Linked DNA regions of Arabidopsis thaliana. The protein of the gene in region 2 interacts with the protein of the main gene of each other region in a pairwise test. Each region holds a gene or a part of one and is shown on either strand. Other genes may lie near its edges.

What was found. The genes of interacting proteins can lie anywhere in the genome.
Region 1: the proteins of CID4 (region 2) and PAB8 interact in a two-hybrid assay, tested with the Arabidopsis thaliana proteins (one large-scale study listed by BioGRID).
Region 3: the proteins of CID4 (region 2) and PAB3 interact in a two-hybrid assay, tested with the Arabidopsis thaliana proteins (one large-scale study listed by BioGRID).

The regions. Positions count from the first base shown.
Region 1 is NC_003070.9:18,414,831-18,420,645, reverse strand, and holds PAB8 (poly(A) binding protein 8), read right to left. Parts: upstream 4,172-5,815; 5' UTR 3,907-4,171; coding exon 3,612-3,906; intron 3,281-3,611; coding exon 3,162-3,280; intron 3,026-3,161; coding exon 2,369-3,025; intron 2,284-2,368; coding exon 2,206-2,283; intron 2,105-2,205; coding exon 2,015-2,104; intron 1,924-2,014; coding exon 1,789-1,923; intron 1,712-1,788; coding exon 1,517-1,711; intron 1,429-1,516; coding exon 1,225-1,428; intron 1,136-1,224; coding exon 893-1,135; 3' UTR 535-892; downstream 1-534. UniProt on the Arabidopsis thaliana protein: Binds the poly(A) tail of mRNA. Appears to be an important mediator of the multiple roles of the poly(A) tail in mRNA biogenesis, stability and translation.
Region 2 is NC_003074.8:4,634,668-4,641,651, forward strand, and holds CID4 (CTC-interacting domain 4), read left to right. Parts: upstream 1-1,624; 5' UTR 1,625-2,386; coding exon 2,387-2,389; intron 2,390-2,475; coding exon 2,476-2,593; intron 2,594-2,667; coding exon 2,668-2,823; intron 2,824-2,920; coding exon 2,921-3,057; intron 3,058-3,186; coding exon 3,187-3,377; intron 3,378-3,794; coding exon 3,795-3,972; intron 3,973-4,055; coding exon 4,056-4,271; intron 4,272-4,339; coding exon 4,340-4,440; intron 4,441-4,525; coding exon 4,526-4,586; intron 4,587-4,699; coding exon 4,700-4,730; intron 4,731-5,011; coding exon 5,012-5,259; intron 5,260-5,341; coding exon 5,342-5,497; intron 5,498-5,573; coding exon 5,574-5,651; coding exon of another isoform or gene 5,652-5,657; exon of another isoform or gene 5,658-5,730; intron 5,731-5,763; coding exon 5,764-5,868; intron 5,869-5,991; coding exon 5,992-6,024; 3' UTR 6,025-6,459; downstream 6,460-6,984.
Region 3 is NC_003070.9:8,053,525-8,059,594, reverse strand, and holds PAB3 (poly(A) binding protein 3), read right to left. Parts: upstream 4,271-6,070; 5' UTR 3,997-4,270; coding exon 3,693-3,996; intron 3,179-3,692; coding exon 2,397-3,178; intron 2,305-2,396; coding exon 2,227-2,304; intron 2,141-2,226; coding exon 2,051-2,140; intron 1,960-2,050; coding exon 1,663-1,959; intron 1,592-1,662; coding exon 1,376-1,591; intron 1,012-1,375; coding exon 796-1,011; 3' UTR 535-795; downstream 1-534. UniProt on the Arabidopsis thaliana protein: Binds the poly(A) tail of mRNA. Appears to be an important mediator of the multiple roles of the poly(A) tail in mRNA biogenesis, stability and translation. In the cytoplasm, affects both translation and mRNA decay.

The sequences.
Region 1 (5,815 bases), on a different chromosome or scaffold from region 2:
AGGAGATGTTAATAGTTTCGACTATACGGCTGTTTCCAACGATTCCCAAGATGCAAAGGAGATTGATCCTCTGCCACCAGGTTTGGTCTTCTTGAATGTAGGAGACAACGAAAGCTTTTTTACAAACAATTTGAAGATAGCGAGGGTTTTGATGTGAACTAGGATAGTTTTAACTACGTGTTATCTGTTGTTAACTTTGACTGGAAACCATCTATAGATGATAAACAGAGCAATGAAGAGCTGCTCAAATTCTCATAGAAACAGCCATCAAAGAACACGATGAAGAATATGGAACAAAACTCGAGTATGTCAATTGTCAAGTATGTGAATGCAAATATTACTACATGCATGGGTCTTATGAATTATGTAACACTTTCGGCTAGAGACCTTATCTCATCAAAACCAAGAGCTTAAACTTTACCAAGCAAAGGCCAAGTTTCGTGATGAGATATAGGTTGTTATGGTCAGGCCAAGGCCAATTCAGTAACTAAGTCGATAAGGTTATTCCAAGGCCCGTTTGATTTCTCCCAGTCTGTTTTCGGAAGCAAGAATAATTTCCTAGAAAAGCCCTGTAAACTTATTGTTACATTGATCATTCGAAGCTTTTAAACCAAATTTTATACCCAAAAGTCGAAACTCTAGACAAAAGCCAAACAATACCCTATCAAATGAGCAGTGTAGGTAAAAAAAGGTGAGAGTAACGATACAAAACTTCCCAAAGTATTAAGAAAATCAAAAACACAGAAGGAAAATGTTAAAACTCTCGCCCAAAACAAAAACTCAAAAATCCAAAACTTTCAAGAACAACTCTGTTTCTGATTCTCCAAAAGAACAAAATAAACACTTTTACAGTGTATATAAACTGAGCTCTTTCAGATATAACTTAGAACTCTCAAGGTACGATGTTGTCTCCAAGAGACAGAGAAGCTAACTGATCAGCTGCACCACCCGCTTGCTGCTGTGCTACACTCCTCAGAACATCCATTGCTTCTGTAACTTTAGCTTTAAGTGCCTCTGGTGATTCCAGCAAGTGAAGTACTTCGGTTTGGTCCATTTCAAGAAGCATTCCCGTGACTTTAGCTGCGGATTCTGGCTCCAGCTGCTCCACAAGCGGGTATAGATTCTCACCAAGCATCTGTATAACGAAGAAACATAACAGGTTTAAGAAAGACACATTTTTCTTAGTTGTTTCCGAGCTGTTAGAAACAAATCATTTGACTTTACCGTTCTCTGTTGCTCTGGAGCTGCATTCGCAAGCCGTGTAGCCAAAGCTACAATAGGAACAGGTTGAGAAGTAGGCGAGTCACGATGATGCACACCACCACCACTTGAGACGTCATATGGAACAGAAAGCATGTTTTGAGTAGGACCAGGCATTGTGTTTACATCTCGCTGAGGATACCGATACATTCGACCTCTTGGATGCATCTGTAGAGAAACAGATTGATGCAAAATGTAAGCATGCTATCGATTTTAAACATGTGGAGAAAGTCTTGGGCCTAAAGCAAAACTTAACCTGCTGCTGCATCATAGGAGAAGGTTGTTGTGGTTGTGGAAGAGCTCCTCTTCTACCACCACCAGGTCGCTGCTGCTGCTGTTGCTGCTGTTGCTGTTGCTGGCCTTGTTGCATCATAGGCATGAAGAAGTTTGGCATTGGAGACCCACCAGGTCTCATACCCGGTACAAGCTGTTGTTGATATCCGAATCCAGGCTGTTCGATACCCAGTTGGAGAAGAAAGTTATAAAGATTGGTCTCAAATGTTTTATGCTTAAAGCTTTGAGCTTTACCTGAGGAATCATAGCAGGAGGCCCTTGACCATAGAAGAGTTGCTGACCCATTGGTGGACCACCTGGTGGATACATTTGCATCCTAGGACCAACCGCAGGTGGCATATTGACCGGCCTCATCTGTGAAAATTGAGCCTAAAATGCCAGAGAGGTCAAATTAAGCACGATAAGCATGGGATTAGGATAATCCTTTTCAAGGATAACAACATGGGTAAATTAACCAGACCTGTAACCTAGCTTTGCGGTCTTCTTTCCGCTGCGCAAGAGCAACATATAGAGGTTTGGTAACGATCATTTTTCCATTCATCTCTGTAATCTGAAACATTGAAAAGAAGACAGTGTTAAGCATCAAGATCCTTCCAGAGAATAGGAGATCACCAAAATTTGACATGTCTTCTTTATATTCTAGTCACTTACAGCTCTAGTTGCTTCCTCAGGAGTTGAAAATGCGACAAATCCAGATCCTCTACTCACTCCACTGGGGTCACGCATCACCTGTCACGTTCAAATGTAATACATTTTAATGCAAATCTGCTGAAGATAGTAACAAGCAGCGCTTTTTATTGTATCAGTCACGGACCTTGCATGATGTAATAGTTCCAAAGGGAGCAAAATGTTCTCTGAGCTTATCATCTGTGACGCTCTCATCCAAGTTCTTAACATATAAGTTCGACCCCTGAGACTTGTCTGCAGCCTCCTTCAAACTTTGCTCAAACTTTTGTTTGAGTTCAGTTTCCCTCTCGGACTTCTTTTGGGCCTTCCCAACAAACCACTCCTTGTCGTCAAAGGTCTTTCCATTTAGAGCGTCAACAGCTCTGGCTGCATCATCAGAATTCTCAAAATTGACAAATCCAAAGCCTTTAGACTTTCCTTCACCATCTCTCATGATAACACAACTAGTAGTCACTCCGAACTCTCCAAAAACTTTGTTAAGCTCTTCATCACTCAAGGACTCGGAGAGATTTTTGACATAAACATTAGTGAACTTAACTTTCTCACCCGAAGGATCTCTCTGCAGCTTGTGAACAAAGGGTCCAACATAAACTTGCTTATCGTTAAGAAGCATTCCATTCAGTTTATCAATGGCTCCCTGAGCTGCTTCATCAGTGTCGTACTGCACAAACCCATAGCCTTTCGACTGACCAGAGGGATCAACGGCCACTTTGCAAGATAGAATGGGACCAAAGGCTGAAAATGTCTCGTGAAGTGCTTTGTGATCAATTGATTTGTCAAGATTCTGAGACACAGATAATAAACCATGTCAATAAACAAACAAACTTTGAGATAGGATATTAAACAAGCCAAGGTTTCTTTCCATCTCTGCATAGAAGTTCAAACTTGGACAATAGGAAAAAGAGATTTAATATATGTACCTTAATAAATATATTACCAACTCCGCTCTTACGGAGACTTGGATCACGAACAGAATACATAACTCTTATAGCCCTTCCATTAAGAGCCATGAAATTCAGCTCATTCAGTGCCCTGGAAGCTGTCACCAATCAGAAATATTAACATCAACATAACTCAAATCATTCATTTCTGTAAGAAGAATAACATTGAGTCTACTCATAACATTGAGGTCATAACTCTAACTCTATGACCTCAAAAGAAAACTATCCTCCCTAACAGCCAAATACCCTGAAAGCCCACAATGTTACCAAATGTAACCACTTTCCAAATTAACCTGAAAGCTTTCACCTTTTTTATAGAAAGCTCCCAAATTTAGATTAGCATTTGATATAACACATCAGTCCATACCCCAAATTCAGATGAGCTACAACGACTAAGTTACCAAATCAGATAAGCCTTAAGAAAGTTACCATCTTGAGGAGTTGCATAGTTAACGTAGCCATAGCCTAGAGATCTCCGAGTCGTCATGTCTCTGCAGACACGGACAGAAACCACCTGACCCGCTTGGGTAAACGCCTCAAACAGCTGTGAATCCGTCACGGTCGCATCCAGATCACCGACATATAAAGACGTCGTCCCTTGCTGCGCAGCTCCGGCAGCCGCCGCCGCAGCTCCAGCCGCAGCCGCCGCAGCTTCAGCCGCAGCAGCACCGGGAACAGCTACACCACCATTGGCATTTTGACCCTGATGCTGAATCTGAGCCATTTTTCGAGATATCAATCCGAATTACCTATCTATCTATCTTCTTCTCCTCTCCAAATCAGCTCAAATCAAAAGATAAAGCAGAGATTTTTAGGAGATGAATCCTCAACGCCGGAGAATAAAAATTGAGTCTTTGAATCGGAAGAAGGAAGGAAAATGGGGAAGTAACCGACGGCGAGAGTTGCAGCGTTGAGCTTAGATAAAAGGGTCAGAGGAAGTGACCTTATCAGAGAGAAGCTCAAATGAAAAAAAACTGCAAAGAGGAAAGACAACTTGGAGGTTTCAGTGTTTATATATGGAAGGTTTCACCAAACCCTAAAAGCTTTGATGGTAATTTGAGAAATCTCAGCCGTTGGATTTACACTGTAGTGTGTCTTGTTGTGGGTCACACACTTGTATAAAATATGCGTTGGGAAATATCTTACCATTTTATTTTATTTTATTGGGCAAAAGTATTTGTGCTCAAAAATATATAACCGTATTCAGACTAATGAGGAGTAATTACTAATGAGATTAGAAAAACAAGAATCAGTGTAAGTGTAGTGATGTTTTATTTAAGAAAATTTGTTAAAATTATTAGTATGTACTGTAGTAAATTTTCTGCAAGGTAAATTAGAAAGTGAAGTGATTTTTGTATAAAAAGGATAAAATATGAAATAGCTGTAGTAACTGTCAAAAAAAAATATGTTCGTTCAGACATATTTAATTATTATTAGTAAATACCATTGAATGACCATGCAAATTTATGAAAATAGCTAAGAAGTTGTAAAGTTTTTGATTAATTTGCAAAAAATATAAAATGGTGCTCTTTTTCTAAAAGAACACATAAAATTTTAAATAACATGCAGTTATCTAACAATTTGGTTATCTATCTCTCCACATACATGTGAATATGTGATGTAATGCATGAAACTAAAAACATGGGGGACTTTTTAAAAAACCTTTTCTAGCTTGCGTTATGAGAAAAGTTTTAAGAAGTTTCGAAATCGTTATGTTGCAACTTCATACCTCAGTCAAGGATAATAGAGGCTAAAGATAGTAGATAATTAAAAATGGGCCAACAAATCTTGTGAACCAGTTTCTTGATGTCTTGGAAAATTATGGACCGAAATTCTAGCCTGTATTGGGCCCAATCTTGCATAATTTAAAATTAGTCGATCGAACATAACTCTTTTTGCCTTTCTAACTGTTTTTAGTATCTCTTCAGCGTGAAATGTGTAATAACAATATCATCTCTTCTATTTTCAGTCAGAAGAAATTGAAACATGGTATACCGAAATCAGTTTATGCTAATTCAGAAGGTAAATTTTTTTAACAGATTGGTAACGACCGTTATTTTTGGCTTTAGAAGGTTTGACTTTAAAAATTTGAGGTACAAAGAATTTAGCTGTAAAGACTTTGGCTGTTAAAATCAGATTGGTAAAACAAAGTTGTAGAAGCTGTGACTGTTATTTTTTATTAGTAACAATAAAACTTTATTACTGATTTTTAAAAATATATATTATTCATTCATTTTTAAAAGACCAAACATTGCATTATTTATATTTATTGTTTCATGCACTTAATATCCAAACACTTAATATCCAAACACATTAATAATTAAAATACTCATCTTGAATGATTCTTATGGCTAAATTTTTTTCTCAAAACTGTTTTGAATGATTTTTTTGACTTATCATAAAATCAACAAATTTATTAATGATAATGAAATGACATCTAACTTTATTAGTGTTGATGATAAAAAATAAAATTATTATTAGTGAAATGGATCTTAAAAAAAAATTAGTAACTTGATAATAATTATTAATCAAAAACGTTTTGAAAAAAGAAATATGTAATTTGTAGAGAACTTTTAATTATGTTTAGAGAAGAAAACGAAAAGCTTTTAATTTGTTTTAAAAGCCTCATTTAC
Region 2 (6,984 bases):
GTCGTTTAAATTATTTTAAATCAACTGCATTCAAATATGAATGCAAAAACCTAAAAAGGAATATTTACGAGTCTATATAATGTCAGATTTGGTCACAGGAGCGCCGTGAAGCAACGGGCGAGAATTAACTACACTCTGTGGAGTTTCTTACCATACACTATTTTACAATTCGTAGTTAATGTTTTTAGTTTTTTTTTTGGCTTGCTTTCTCTATTTTTTTCACTAATACAGCTGAAACATTTTTTTAAATTAGGACAAAAGAAAACAGTTTTTATAGCAATGAATGATCAGATCCGATACTGCAAAATATAAATTAATTTAATTTTTACCATACCACGTGAATGATCTGTGTTTTCTTGTTTGATATTGTTCTTTCTCTTTCCATTTTAATGTTAGCTCGTATCTTATAGCTATAACTATGACCTATCCGTTACAAATAATACTTTATGATGATCTCTCTTTCACCCCATGTTAAATTGAACATAATACTCGTATAGTCTTAAGATTTCTGTCTTATCTTTTTCAAGTGTATGTTCCAACCAGGTATCGTGGTCTGGTGGTAAAGGAACCTCGACTGAGACGTCCGACACCCGGATTCGATTTCTGGTCACCAGAGAATTAACATGCGGATTTGCTCTAGCGCCTCAGACCACCAGTTCCAGGGAGCCATTAAGTAGATGTTTAAAAATTCCTGGTCGCGGGCTTAAACCCAGTGGACTAGTCAGATCACTGTGTGGTCTGGACACTAAGTTGTCAAAAAAAAAAAAAAAAAGTGTATGTTCCATTGCTAATTAGAGAGGTACAACTTTGAAAAGTGTAATGTTTCATACATGTAACTCTTATACTTTTTATTGGCCACACCAGTTTTTTTGTATTTCATCATTTTAATAATATTTCAGAATTCTCCAACTAATCCATGTTTAAGTAATTTTGGAGTATTTTTCTAGTGATGCTTTTCTGATTATATATTTAATTTGATCAATTATGATCATTAGTATTTATGCCTAGCTTTATGGTGACAAATAGCATATTGCACCTTAGAAACTGAAAAAAGGTATAAAGTGATTTTATCAAAAATAAAAACAAGTGATGATGAGACATGCAAATGAAGCATGTAATATTTAGATTCAAGCTTGTTATTATTAAATAATCATTTAAACTTTATAGAGTTGTTTTTCCAACTAAGCCTATTAATGCTTTTTCCCCCAACCTTTTCTGTCTCCTTCAAGGCTTAAGCACTTTCATTATAACCCATTTTGAAAGTCAAGTTAACATTATCCCCATCATTAAGCAAACCATACCCTTTTAAAAGTTCATTTCGAATTTGAAGTATCCTTTGCTTCAGGTTACTTGCTTTTACAAAAACTCTTTATTCTTGCTGATTTCTTTCCACAAATGAAATAAAGGTAAATTACAATCGAAGGCTTGATCCTTTATGTTTTATGTGTGTTAAAAGATTTAGAAGTTCTTAATGGCTAAGGTAAAATGATCGATCAAAGAAAAGAAAGAAAAGACAGAAAAAGAAAACATAAAAGCTTGACATTCAAAAGTTGAGGCCTATAAAGTTTCTCAAACTCAGTTTATAGCCCATGTTGAGCCCATTAAGGCCCAAATATAGTTGTACCATGCACTTGCCCGTAGGTGATTGGTACTCTACACAACGATCTGTTTCGTGTAGCTAGCTGTTCTTTCCTTTCATGATTTTGCTTCCTGCGGAAAATCAAAGAGTTAGCTCAGCTCCGATCACTCTCTCCGATTATCTTTCGCTCTTTAGATTCATGGTGAATCGTTTACCGTCACTCTCTCCTCGTAAACCCTAGCTCTCTCCGAAACCCTAACTCGCTGCGTTGGAAACTAATCGAGCTCGTCCCTCTCCTTTCGGAAGCATTTCTTTAATCGGTGTTGCAGAGGCGTTTTGGTTTCTGATCGGGTTAGCTTTCTGAGGTAAATATCCTCTTCTTCGATTCTTATATCTGGATTTTTAGTTTATCTTCATTGCTTCTTTATTCTTCCGCGTTATTGGGAATTTGATGATTTAGGGTTTGTTTTACTGGAATACCTAGCTCTAGCTCGAATACGTTGGAGATCCTATTTCATGATTGCAGATGATTGTATCTTTGATTCACTGTTATGCCTTCCTTTTTTTGCGTCTGTTTGTGCTGAAAACTCTTTGATTTTGTTTCCATTTCTTAATTGTTTGTGCTGCGGATTAATGGTTGAAATCAACACTATCTTTCTTTCTTTCATCCACAACGTTTTCTAGACTAATCGGCATGTTTGATGAATGAAGCCAAGCAAGTGTTGTTTTATGTTTATTTTTCTGTAATGGCGATGCGAGGCTGTTCACTGATTGTATTTTGCTGTTAGATAGTAATCATCGGTTTCAATGGTAACCTTCTATTTATAGTTTCTGCGTCAGTTGAGCAATTACGAATGTCATGGGTTTCAATAACTGTTTTTTTTTACCCTTGTTAGTTAGAACAGTCTAAGGCTGCAATGAGTATTCCTCAGTCGAAATCTTCATCAAATGGATTTCCACTCAAAAGAGGTGAAACAGAGGAAGTTTTACATAAGACAAATACATCAAATACAGGTTAGCTGTTGATATTCTGTGATTTATGTGCAACGTCATATTCTGAGTCCTCATGCATGTTGATATGTATTCAGTATTCAATGGGGAAGCTGGAAGCTTGAAGAGGCTTTCACTTGATCGGTTAGTGTACTTCACAACATGTAAGATCGGGCATCATGTGGAAGTGCATCTAAGGAATGGATCAGTGTATACCGGTATATTTCATGCTGCCAATGTAGAGAAGGATTTTGGTGAGGCTCTGAATCAGAATTTTTTTCCTTATAGAGCTGCACATACAAATTCACACTACTTTTTCTTGCAATGTATAAAATTGCTTGAAACTTCCAGGAATCATTCTAAAGATGGCATGCTTGATTAAAGACGGTACTTTACGAGGACATAAATCCCGTTCCGAATTTGTCAGGAAGCCGCCTTCCAAGACATTCATTATTCCGGCAGATGAACTTGTGCAAGTTATAGCTAAGGTGTGCCTGCTTTTATAAACTGAAGGGAAATATTTATTGTTTTAAGTTTATGTCAATGTGTTATATTGCAGAGAGACTACTTTGAGTTTTGACATTGTCATTACTTTATATCATTGATTTTGGTGTTAGGATCTCTCTGTATCCTCGAACAACATGTCAAATGCGGTTCAGGGTGAGAAACCATCGGAGCTGTTGACAGACTCTTCTATATCACAGTCTTATCATGTTGATCGGGAAAGGCAGCTGCAACGCTGGGTACCTGATGAGACTATTCCACACGGTGCAGATTTGGAGAATGTGTTTGATAACCCTTGGAATAGGTAATATACGCACACACACACACACACGCACATATATATTTAAATTTTTTGTCAAATTTATACTTATTGAATGTTTGGTATGTTGATTTGTCAGCTAGATTTTCAGATCACGGTTTCTTAGCTGACCAATTTAGATGAGAGATGGTGGGAATGAATAGATTATGTTTGTGCTTGCACTTTAGAAATTCCGTATATTCCTTTTGGAAAGCAATTCTCTTTCTATATCTAAAGCTAGAATTCTACTATTTAGTGAAAGCATATATTATATTGTGAGGAACAGCCCATGGTGAATGTCTCAAAGATTAGGAAGAATATTGTTTTGATAGTTATGTTTCTTATATATGAGTAATCTTTGCTGTGTGGTTACCTGTCTTTTCTGTCCTTGATATCTCTCAGCTGATCCGTTTCTGCTTGTAGGAAATGGAATCAGTTTGAGGTGAATAAGTCACTGTTTGGAGTAAAAAGCACTTTCGACGAGGACCTCTATACCACAAGACTTGAGAGAGGTCCTCAGACTAAACAGTTGGAAGAGCATGCCCAGAAGATTGCGAGAGAGATCGAGGCTGAGACTACCCGAGATATTCATGTAGCAGAGGTAATTTGGGGGTTTGATTTCACCTTGATTCCTATGTTTTTTTGGTGTTATAAGTTTAAATTCGTAACTATTCATGCATGCAGGAAAGAGGCCTTCAGCTTAATGAGAACTTTGATTTTGACGAGGAAGCCAGATACTCATCTGTCCGTCCAGTCACTGGATTTGGTGATAGTGGGTTTGATTTGGAGGACAACGCATTGCTGGATACTTGCAACGATCTGACTTTTGGTGGCTCATCTACTTCTGATGGCCAGAAGCCAGCTTCTAGTGGCAAGGGCTGTGAAGAATTACGGGTATCGGTGAGTTCGTCTTTGATAGTAGTTAATAGCTGAACGAGTTGGTGATGTTGCTATTCATTTTCTTTCAGGGTGACAGTCAGTCTTCTCGGAAAAATAAAAATGTAGATCAAAGCTGCTCAACCTCTAAACAGCAATCCAAAGATTTTCCTGCCGCAGGCAGCAATATCAGGTCTTATTTTTCTTGCAATTAAGCTACACATCTGGAAAATCATCTAAAATATATCTCACATTGGGAGTTCCTCTTGGCATAATAGTGAGAGCCAGCTAGATGAGCAAAGAAGAAAGAATAACGAAGAGGTTTCACACAATAACAGAGTAATGACAAGTCCATGTTGATTATGCCGTTTAATCATGATTGCATTTTGCGTTTCATTGTTGTTCTATAATTTTTAACATTGGTTATTTGGCTTCCTTCTGTATTAACATAGTCAGCTGAGGAATCAACTTCTGGTCATGGAGGTATACGCTACTTTCATTTTTATTAACATACGTGTTTTCTTGTTGTATACGATGAATTACCTTTCATTTTTACTAGCATGACTCCAGTTTTTCTTGATCTGACGCTATAATTTATTATCACGTTTATCTCAATGGACAATCTATGGTGGATTCTGTTAAGGTTGCTAAATGGAATTTAGAAATGTTCTTTTTTACACAAGGAGTGGTGACCTGTTATGAAACGTCCATCTAATTAGGAAACTGGTTGTAGGCTTTATGTAAATATGTATTGTGGAATGTAGATATCAAAGAAGGTGCAAAATCTGGTGGTGGTGCATCCTCGGTGTCTAAGGCTGTTACTGAGAGAGAAAGAGAAGCCAGTCAAGTTTCTAGTAAAACAAAATCTGAAAGCTCTTTCGGGCAGTCTGCTTCTAGAAGTTCAGAAAGTCGCCCAGGTCCTTCAACATCAAGTCGTCCTGGGCTATCACCGAGCTCGTCAATTGGTTCTATGGCCTCATCAGAAAAGTCCACACTGAATCCGAATGCAAAGGTATTTTGTTTGATGTTCAAACTTGATAAAGTGTTAACTGTGTGTGTGTTTTTACTAATTATGGGTCGTTGGGTCTGATCAGGAATTCAAACTCAATCCAAAGGCTAAGAGTTTCAAACCATTGCAGTCAGCTGCTGCACCACCTCAATCTCCAATCGCAGATGCCTCATTCTACTACCCTGGTCCTAGTCATGTTCCTGTTCAGCAGATGCCTGGAATGCCGCCTGTTAATTACGGAGTAAGTTCCGTTTGTTATATATTATATAAACCCAACCGAGTTATGTTTTCAAAACTCACCATGTGAAAATTGGCAGCTCCCGCCATATCCTGGCAACCAACCACAGATGATGTATCATCCTCAAGCCTATTATCATCCAAATGGACAACCTCAGGTTTGACAGTAACACACAAGCCCTATTGAATTACTATTCCCACACACATACACAAAAAAAAAAAAAAAACATCAAAAGTCTAATGGTGATTGGAATTGGAATTGTGATGTAGTACCCACAGCAGCAAATGATACCTGGTCAGCAGCAGCAGCAAATGATACCTGGTCAGCAGCATCCTAGGCCAGTTTATTACATGCATCCTCCTCCTTACCCGCAGGTTATTATTTTTGCTAATAGTAGATTCCCTCTTTTTGTTCTTTTTTTATTTTTCTTTTACATAGTCGAAGAGTTAAAACTTTTGGATGCTGAAATCTCATCTCTGTATGTGTGTGTTTTGCAGGACATGCCATATCATAATAAAGGACGAGAGTAATAACTACTACTACCCGATGGTGATGATGTTTTTTTTTTTTGTGAAGGAAGTGTACGAACCCCTCTCTGGTTTTATCCACTCTCCCTTACCCAATCACTGAAACCATTTTCTTCTCTTTTTTAGATTCGCCTACTGATTTTGGTATTTCGTGTTGAAAACAAAAAGAAAGAAAAAAAGAAAGAAAAAAAACGATCTATCTGAAGTCTGTAGTACTGAGTGCACTCTCTCCTTTTTTTTGGCTGTATCAGAGATATAAAATTTAGAGTGTAGGTTGCTCTCATGCGTCTTTTACTTCGTCGTCTGCATATTTTTTTGTGTGTGTTGTGCTAAATTTCTGGGTGATTTTGTTATCTAAAATCCAAAAAGGATGCGGTTTAGATGAAAAGAATAGAAGAGTAACAACGATTTCAAAGCAGGCAGAACTAGTCATTTTTGGTGTTGTTGTAGGGCATGCTTTTTTCAATAAGTCGTTAAACGTTACTATAAGTAGTTGTCTCGCGATTATTATCATGATGATCGATATGACTCGGTGTATATGATTTGGTGGGCAACACATTCATGTTTTAAGATTCCACAAGAAAAAAATAAAATGGAATCAAACCTAGTTTTACCAGTCGCATATATTATTAGGTTAGGTGACTGCATTGAGTTGTTTATTTTTTACTTTTTTACGAGTCTCTCTCAACATTTATTGTTTTTGCTTTAAAGTGGAGATTTTAACCGTGGCTTGAGCTTGACACTTACGAATGATGTTGGGTCACCAATCTTCATCTAGAATTTACCTTATAATCACTTAGTTCAATTGCGAATCATGTTTTCGATGTATTTTCAACAACTTTTCACGAAACCAACTAACATATTTTACGGTCATCCGCTATGATAGAAAAACCGATGAATTTGCTAAGTTTGTTTCTTTCTTTTCAGTATGGATACCGAAATGAGACAAGAAAACAACGAATA
Region 3 (6,070 bases), on a different chromosome or scaffold from region 2:
GGAGAGTGAAGTCAACAAATGATGAGGCAAAGGGTCGGCTCTTGTAGCTCCAATGAGAAGGGTCAGACACATTTTGGACGGTGACATGTATCAACCCCACTCACTCTCTTCTTTATTCACTCATTTTTTTTGTTAGTCTTCTTGTGTGCTAATGTATGGTCAATTTGAAATTAGCACTGATGTTGACTTTTTAAAATATTTTCATATGAACGAGCTGGTTCATGTACCATGCCAACATATGTTTTTCAAATAAATTAATCGAATTAGATTCTTGTTGTGACTGAGAGTATTTTCGATCAACATAAACCATTCAAATTAACGTCATATCAAACACTATTATGAAATGAGTGGTACAATCATTGAATCGCTTGCTTCCAACCCCTCAAAAAGAAAAAGTCTGTGTGCATATAATTGATATCAACTACAAGTTGAAATACAAACCACAAATTATGAGTAGACACATTCGAATAAATTCATAATAGAAGGCTGCTACCATAATAGAAGGATTGTCCCTTGTTGCTGACCATGAATACCGAACAACTTAAATTTCAAGTAGAGATGGATTATTTGGGGATTCGGAAGAAGAAGTCTACTCAGATTATTAAGAAATCATCATTGTCCAAAGAAAAAGAAAAACACCATAAACTAAGTTAAAGACACAAAAACCATAAACTAAGTAAACAAAAAAAAACTGCTAAAATAGTAAAGGAAGACTAAAACCCAAAAAAGAAAAGAAAAGGAGTCGATATCAAAACTAAAAGAAGAAAACAGAGTTGAGCAAACGCATTGCAAATTTCAGTCGGTGGTAGAGAAACCAAGATCATGATCAGTTGGATCAACAGATAGCCTGAGAACATCCAAAGCCTCGGATACTTTAGACTTGAGTGCCTCTGGTGACTCCATCAGGTGCAAGATCTCAGCTTGATCCATCTCCAACAACATTCCTGTGACTTTAGCCACGTGAAGTGGTTCGTGCCTTTCCACAAGTGGGTACAGTTGTTCTCCAAGCATCTGTTCCCAACCAATTTTTTAAAAATAAAAATCAGTAAACATATAAATATATAGATATGCCAATCTCTATCAACTATATATTTATGTGACTTTAACTTTTATTTATTTGTTATAAGACCATAATTCTTTCAAACATTTGATGTTAAGAAACAAAATTCACCAAAACATTTTTCAGTTATTCAGGAAATATTTTGTAAGATAAAATGCAAATGTGACTGACCTCTCTTTGCGTTTGGTTTTGCATCAACAATTGAAAACATATGTTTAGAGTTAAGGGTTTATTATTCAAAAGTTATACACCAAATGCAAAAGAAAACGCAAAACAAAGAAATGTTTAGCTGAGATGGAAGGAAAAGAGGCAAACCCGAGTGCGATCAGCTGGACTAGCAGAAGCTAAGGAAGAAGTGAGCTTAGAGATTGGAAGGAGAGGAGCTTTCTGGTGAGAGATCGAAGAAGCATCTATTGGCAAAGGAATGATAGGAGGTAAGATTCCTTGAGGAACACTCGAATCCATTCCGTTCCTCCCGTTACTCGCACCGTTCATATATCTCATTCCCGGGGACGGGTTACGGTGCATAAGCTGTCAATATTCAATCCAACTCAGTTTCATGATTGTTGAAAACTATAAACAGACTCAGTTTAGTAACATACTTGTTGTTGTTGGATGTGTTGTTGCACGTTAGTAGCACCACGCCTGAATCCCATACGAGGACCGGTCTGAGGTTGTCTTTGAAGCGGATAAGGCACGATGAAGTTGCCCGGGCCAGAACCTGGACGCATCCCGGGCATGAACTGAGGCTGGAATCCATATCCAATGGGCTGGGACGGGACCATACTTGCTCCGTTTTGGCCTACGTACATGTGTTGAGGTGGACCGGGCATTGGTCCACCTGGCGGGTGATGGAACCCTGACATTGGCCCTGGTGCTCTAATCTGTGAAAACAACGCCTGAAAAAATTGCAAACTTATGTACTTAGTCACACATATAGCTTTAACAAACCCATTTCTTTTAAATATGTTAAAAGAGTTTTTAAAAAACCTGTAAGTGTGCTCGTCTATCTTCTTTGCGCTGCGCAAGAGCTATGTATAGAGGTTTTCTTCCGATCATCTTCCCATTCATTTCACTCAGCTGCATTGTCTCATATGTAACAATCTCTCAGATATCAAAAGAGACGAACAATAAAAGAAGAATATATTATAGTTTTAGTAACTCACGGCTCTTAAAGCTTCTTCAGGATTGGAATAAGCAACAAAACCAAATCCTCTGCTCATTCCTTGTGGATTAAGCATAACCTACATTAGTTAAAGGATTGTGTCAAAGACAACGTAACATCAACAACATATATATTTATGAATATATGTATGAGTTTTTAATTAATTATTACCTTGGAGGATGTCACATTTCCATACTCAGAGAACATCTCCTTGAGTTTCTCATCATCAACACTATCATCAAGATTCTTCAAATACAGGTTCGCTCCTTGAGATTTCTCAAACCGGTTTATCCTCTCTTGCTCAAACTTCCTTCTTAGCTCTTCCTCTCTCTCAGACTTCTTTTGCGCCCTCCCAACGTACAACACATCATCCCCTAAGCTAATTCCATTCATCTTCTCAACCGCCGAAGCCGCTGCTTCAGTGCACTCAAAATTCACAAACCCGAAACACCTCGAGTTTCCGCTCTGGTCCCTCATTACAACTGCGCTCGATATCACTCCAAATTTACCAAACGTTTTTCGTAGCTCGTCCTCACCAATCTCCTTGGGGAGATTCTTGACGTACACGTTAGTGAAACGCGGTGTAGGGGTGTTTTCATCACGAGCACGCTCTTGACGTCTGATGAAGTGTCCCACAAAAACTTGCTTGTCGTTCATTAACATTCCGTTTAGCTTGTCAATTGCGGCTTGAGCCGATTCCTCCTTCTCGAACTGGACAAATCCATACCCCTTGGACCGGCCAGTCACGTCCATTGCAACTTTGCATGAGAGGATGGTTCCAAAACTTGAAAACGTCTCGAACAAGGCCTTGTTGTCGATTGAAGCGTCAAGGTTTTTGATGAAAATGTTTCCTTTGCCGCTCAATCGCGTGCTTGGGTCACGGTTCGAAAGCATGATCCGAATGGGCCTATCAAAGAGGGGAGTGTAGTTCAAGGCCTCCATTGCACGGTAAGCTGCAAACATAAATCAACATATAAACATAGGCAAATAAGATCTCAATTCATTATAGAAAACCAGCATCTATGATATTTATAAATGCACAAATACCTATAGTTTCTACAATTAATGAGATTGAAAGAACAATTTCAAACAAATTTCACGTATTAAATTGAACTAATTAAGAAAAATCATAATATAAGAGACTGATGCATCAACTACTAAAATAAATGTTGTAGCTTTGATATTCAAACGAAACATATCAATGTAGCAGAATCATGGTATAGTAGAGATGAACTACAATATAGAATATTGATTATATGTTAATTTCTAGACAAAAAAAAAGATGATTCGCACAGGAACATGATACTGATCAAAATTAATTACCATGTCTAATAAAAAATTGAGATTGAAAAAAATCAAATCAAAACACTTTTTCTTATTGTAATGCAATTCATGATAATATATATATTTTGTTTTGCAAGACATGAACCCTAACTTGCAATTGAAGCGATATAGAATTGTATTTACCATCGTTAGGGTTACTGAAATTGATGTAGGCATATCCCAAAGATCGACGATTCTGATCGCGGCAAACTCTTACCGAGACGACATTAGCAACATGTTTGAACAAATCAAATAGATGTGCTTCAGTAACTTTCGGGTCCAGATCACCGGCATAGAGCGACGAGTTCGGGTGGGTTTGATCGGCTACCACGACCGGGGATGGAAGAGGTATTGAAACCGGAACCTGAACCGAAGTCTGCGCCGTCGGACTGGGAACTTGATCAACCATTGTCGCCGGTGCAACACCTGTGGCAACCGCCGCCGCCATGATTATGAGTTTACTTTTTACAAGACGATTTGTTATTTTCGTCTCGTGAAAGGAAACAAAATCACTGATTCTAAAAAAACAAAGATTCGATGATTTGTTTCTGTAAGGGTTTTAAGTGAGAAAGAGATTTTCTGTAAACAACATGACTCGAGGATTTGTTTCTTCACAATTTTTGATTTATTTATTTTTTAGGAATTTTATTCTTATTTAGATTTTTTTTTTTCCTTTTTTAGTTTCCTCCGATTATCAAGAAGAGTAAAGAGGGATAAAATTGAATTAGTGTGATGAGTGTGGATGCATATTTATACATAACTAGCTAAGCCTATAAAACCGAGCAATTAACAATTTAGTATAAATAAAATGTCACTTGATTTTACTATTAATAGCTAATTGAATATTTCATGAATCTTTGATAATAAGAATTGGTCGCAGTTTTAAATTATGTTTGCCTTTATTTCTTTTTTTATTACATGAGGTTTTATTTTAGTTACACTTATCGAGCATGTGCTAATTTTGTTTTCTATATCGAAAGCAACATTAAATTTATTTATTCATAAAAAAATGCATGCTTCTAAGGCTTATAAGCACACAAATCTAATTAATTTCTAATAATATAACTAATGAGGTCTTAAGAGCTAAAATTTAATAAATTGATTTAACATTTACTTTGGATAAAAATTGTGATTTTTTATTTATGTTTTTGATTAGAGTAAAGACGAACAACTAATTTTTCAGAGCAAAATTTGCGGCTATTGATTTGGTCATTACTAAGATATCAATCTTATTACTATAAATAGACACATGAAACTATTTTTAGATTCTTTTGACCAGATATTAGATTATGAATTTATGATAAATAAATTGGTAATTTTTTAGTTAGTTGAAATTAAATCAGTTGTATTGTTGATGATGTAAATAGGTTTAGTAATGCTACGAAGTAACTTATTAAAAATCATGGATAATGGAATCTTTTATTTATTTCAATAGACTACAAACCCCTTTAAATATCATACACATATATTGATACACATATATAGATTCAAGTTTTTTATTAGGGATAAAATTGAATTAGTGTGAAGAGTGTGGATTAATATTTATACTTAACTAGCTAAGCCTATAAATCCGAACAATTAACAATTTAGTATAGGGAAAGTGTCACTTGATTTTTACTATTAATAGCTAATTGGTGTTTCATAAATCTTTGATAATAAGAATTGGTCGCAGTTTTGAATTATGTTTGCCTTTATCGCTTCTGTTTTTTACATAAGATTTTATTTTAGTTACACATATCAAGAATTTGCTAATTTCATTTTCTATACCGAAATCAATACTAAATTTATTTATTCATAAAAAATGCATGCTTCTAAGGCTTTTAGGCACACAAATCTAATTATTTTCTAATAGTGTAACCACTGAAGTCTTAGGAGGTAAAATTTAATAAATTTATTTAACATTTACTTAGAATAGAAATTGTAATTGTTTTTTTTTTTTTATGTTTTTGATTGGAGTAAAAGATGAACAGCTAATTTTTGGGAGCATAACTTGCGGCTATTGATTTGGTCATGACTAAGATATCAATTTTATTACTGTAAACAGAAACATGAAACTATTTTTATGAAACTATTTTTAGATTCTTTTGACCAGAATTTGGATTATGATAAATGGATTGATGATTTTTAGTTAATTTACCCATGCCAATTATACTATAGTATCCTCAACTATGCCGGTCAACACTGGTCTTCAACGGAGTAAATTTATTAGTGTACCGGAATTGCATGTCTGTGGTGTTAACTACATGACGTCGTATAGTTCAGATATGTGGTCATACAATACATCTACTTCGTATAGCTAGGGATACACTAATATGCTTGACATGTGTGATCATGCATTCTCCGATATTTTGTGTAGCTAGTTATTTTTCTTCTACTATAAATAGAGATATTAAACTATTTTGGATTCTTTGACCGGATCACATGGATTACAATAAACCATTTTGAAATCTTTAAATAGTTGACTAAAAGAAAATTTACTATAGGGATATTGTTAAGATGTTCTCTATTTTCAATTGTATATA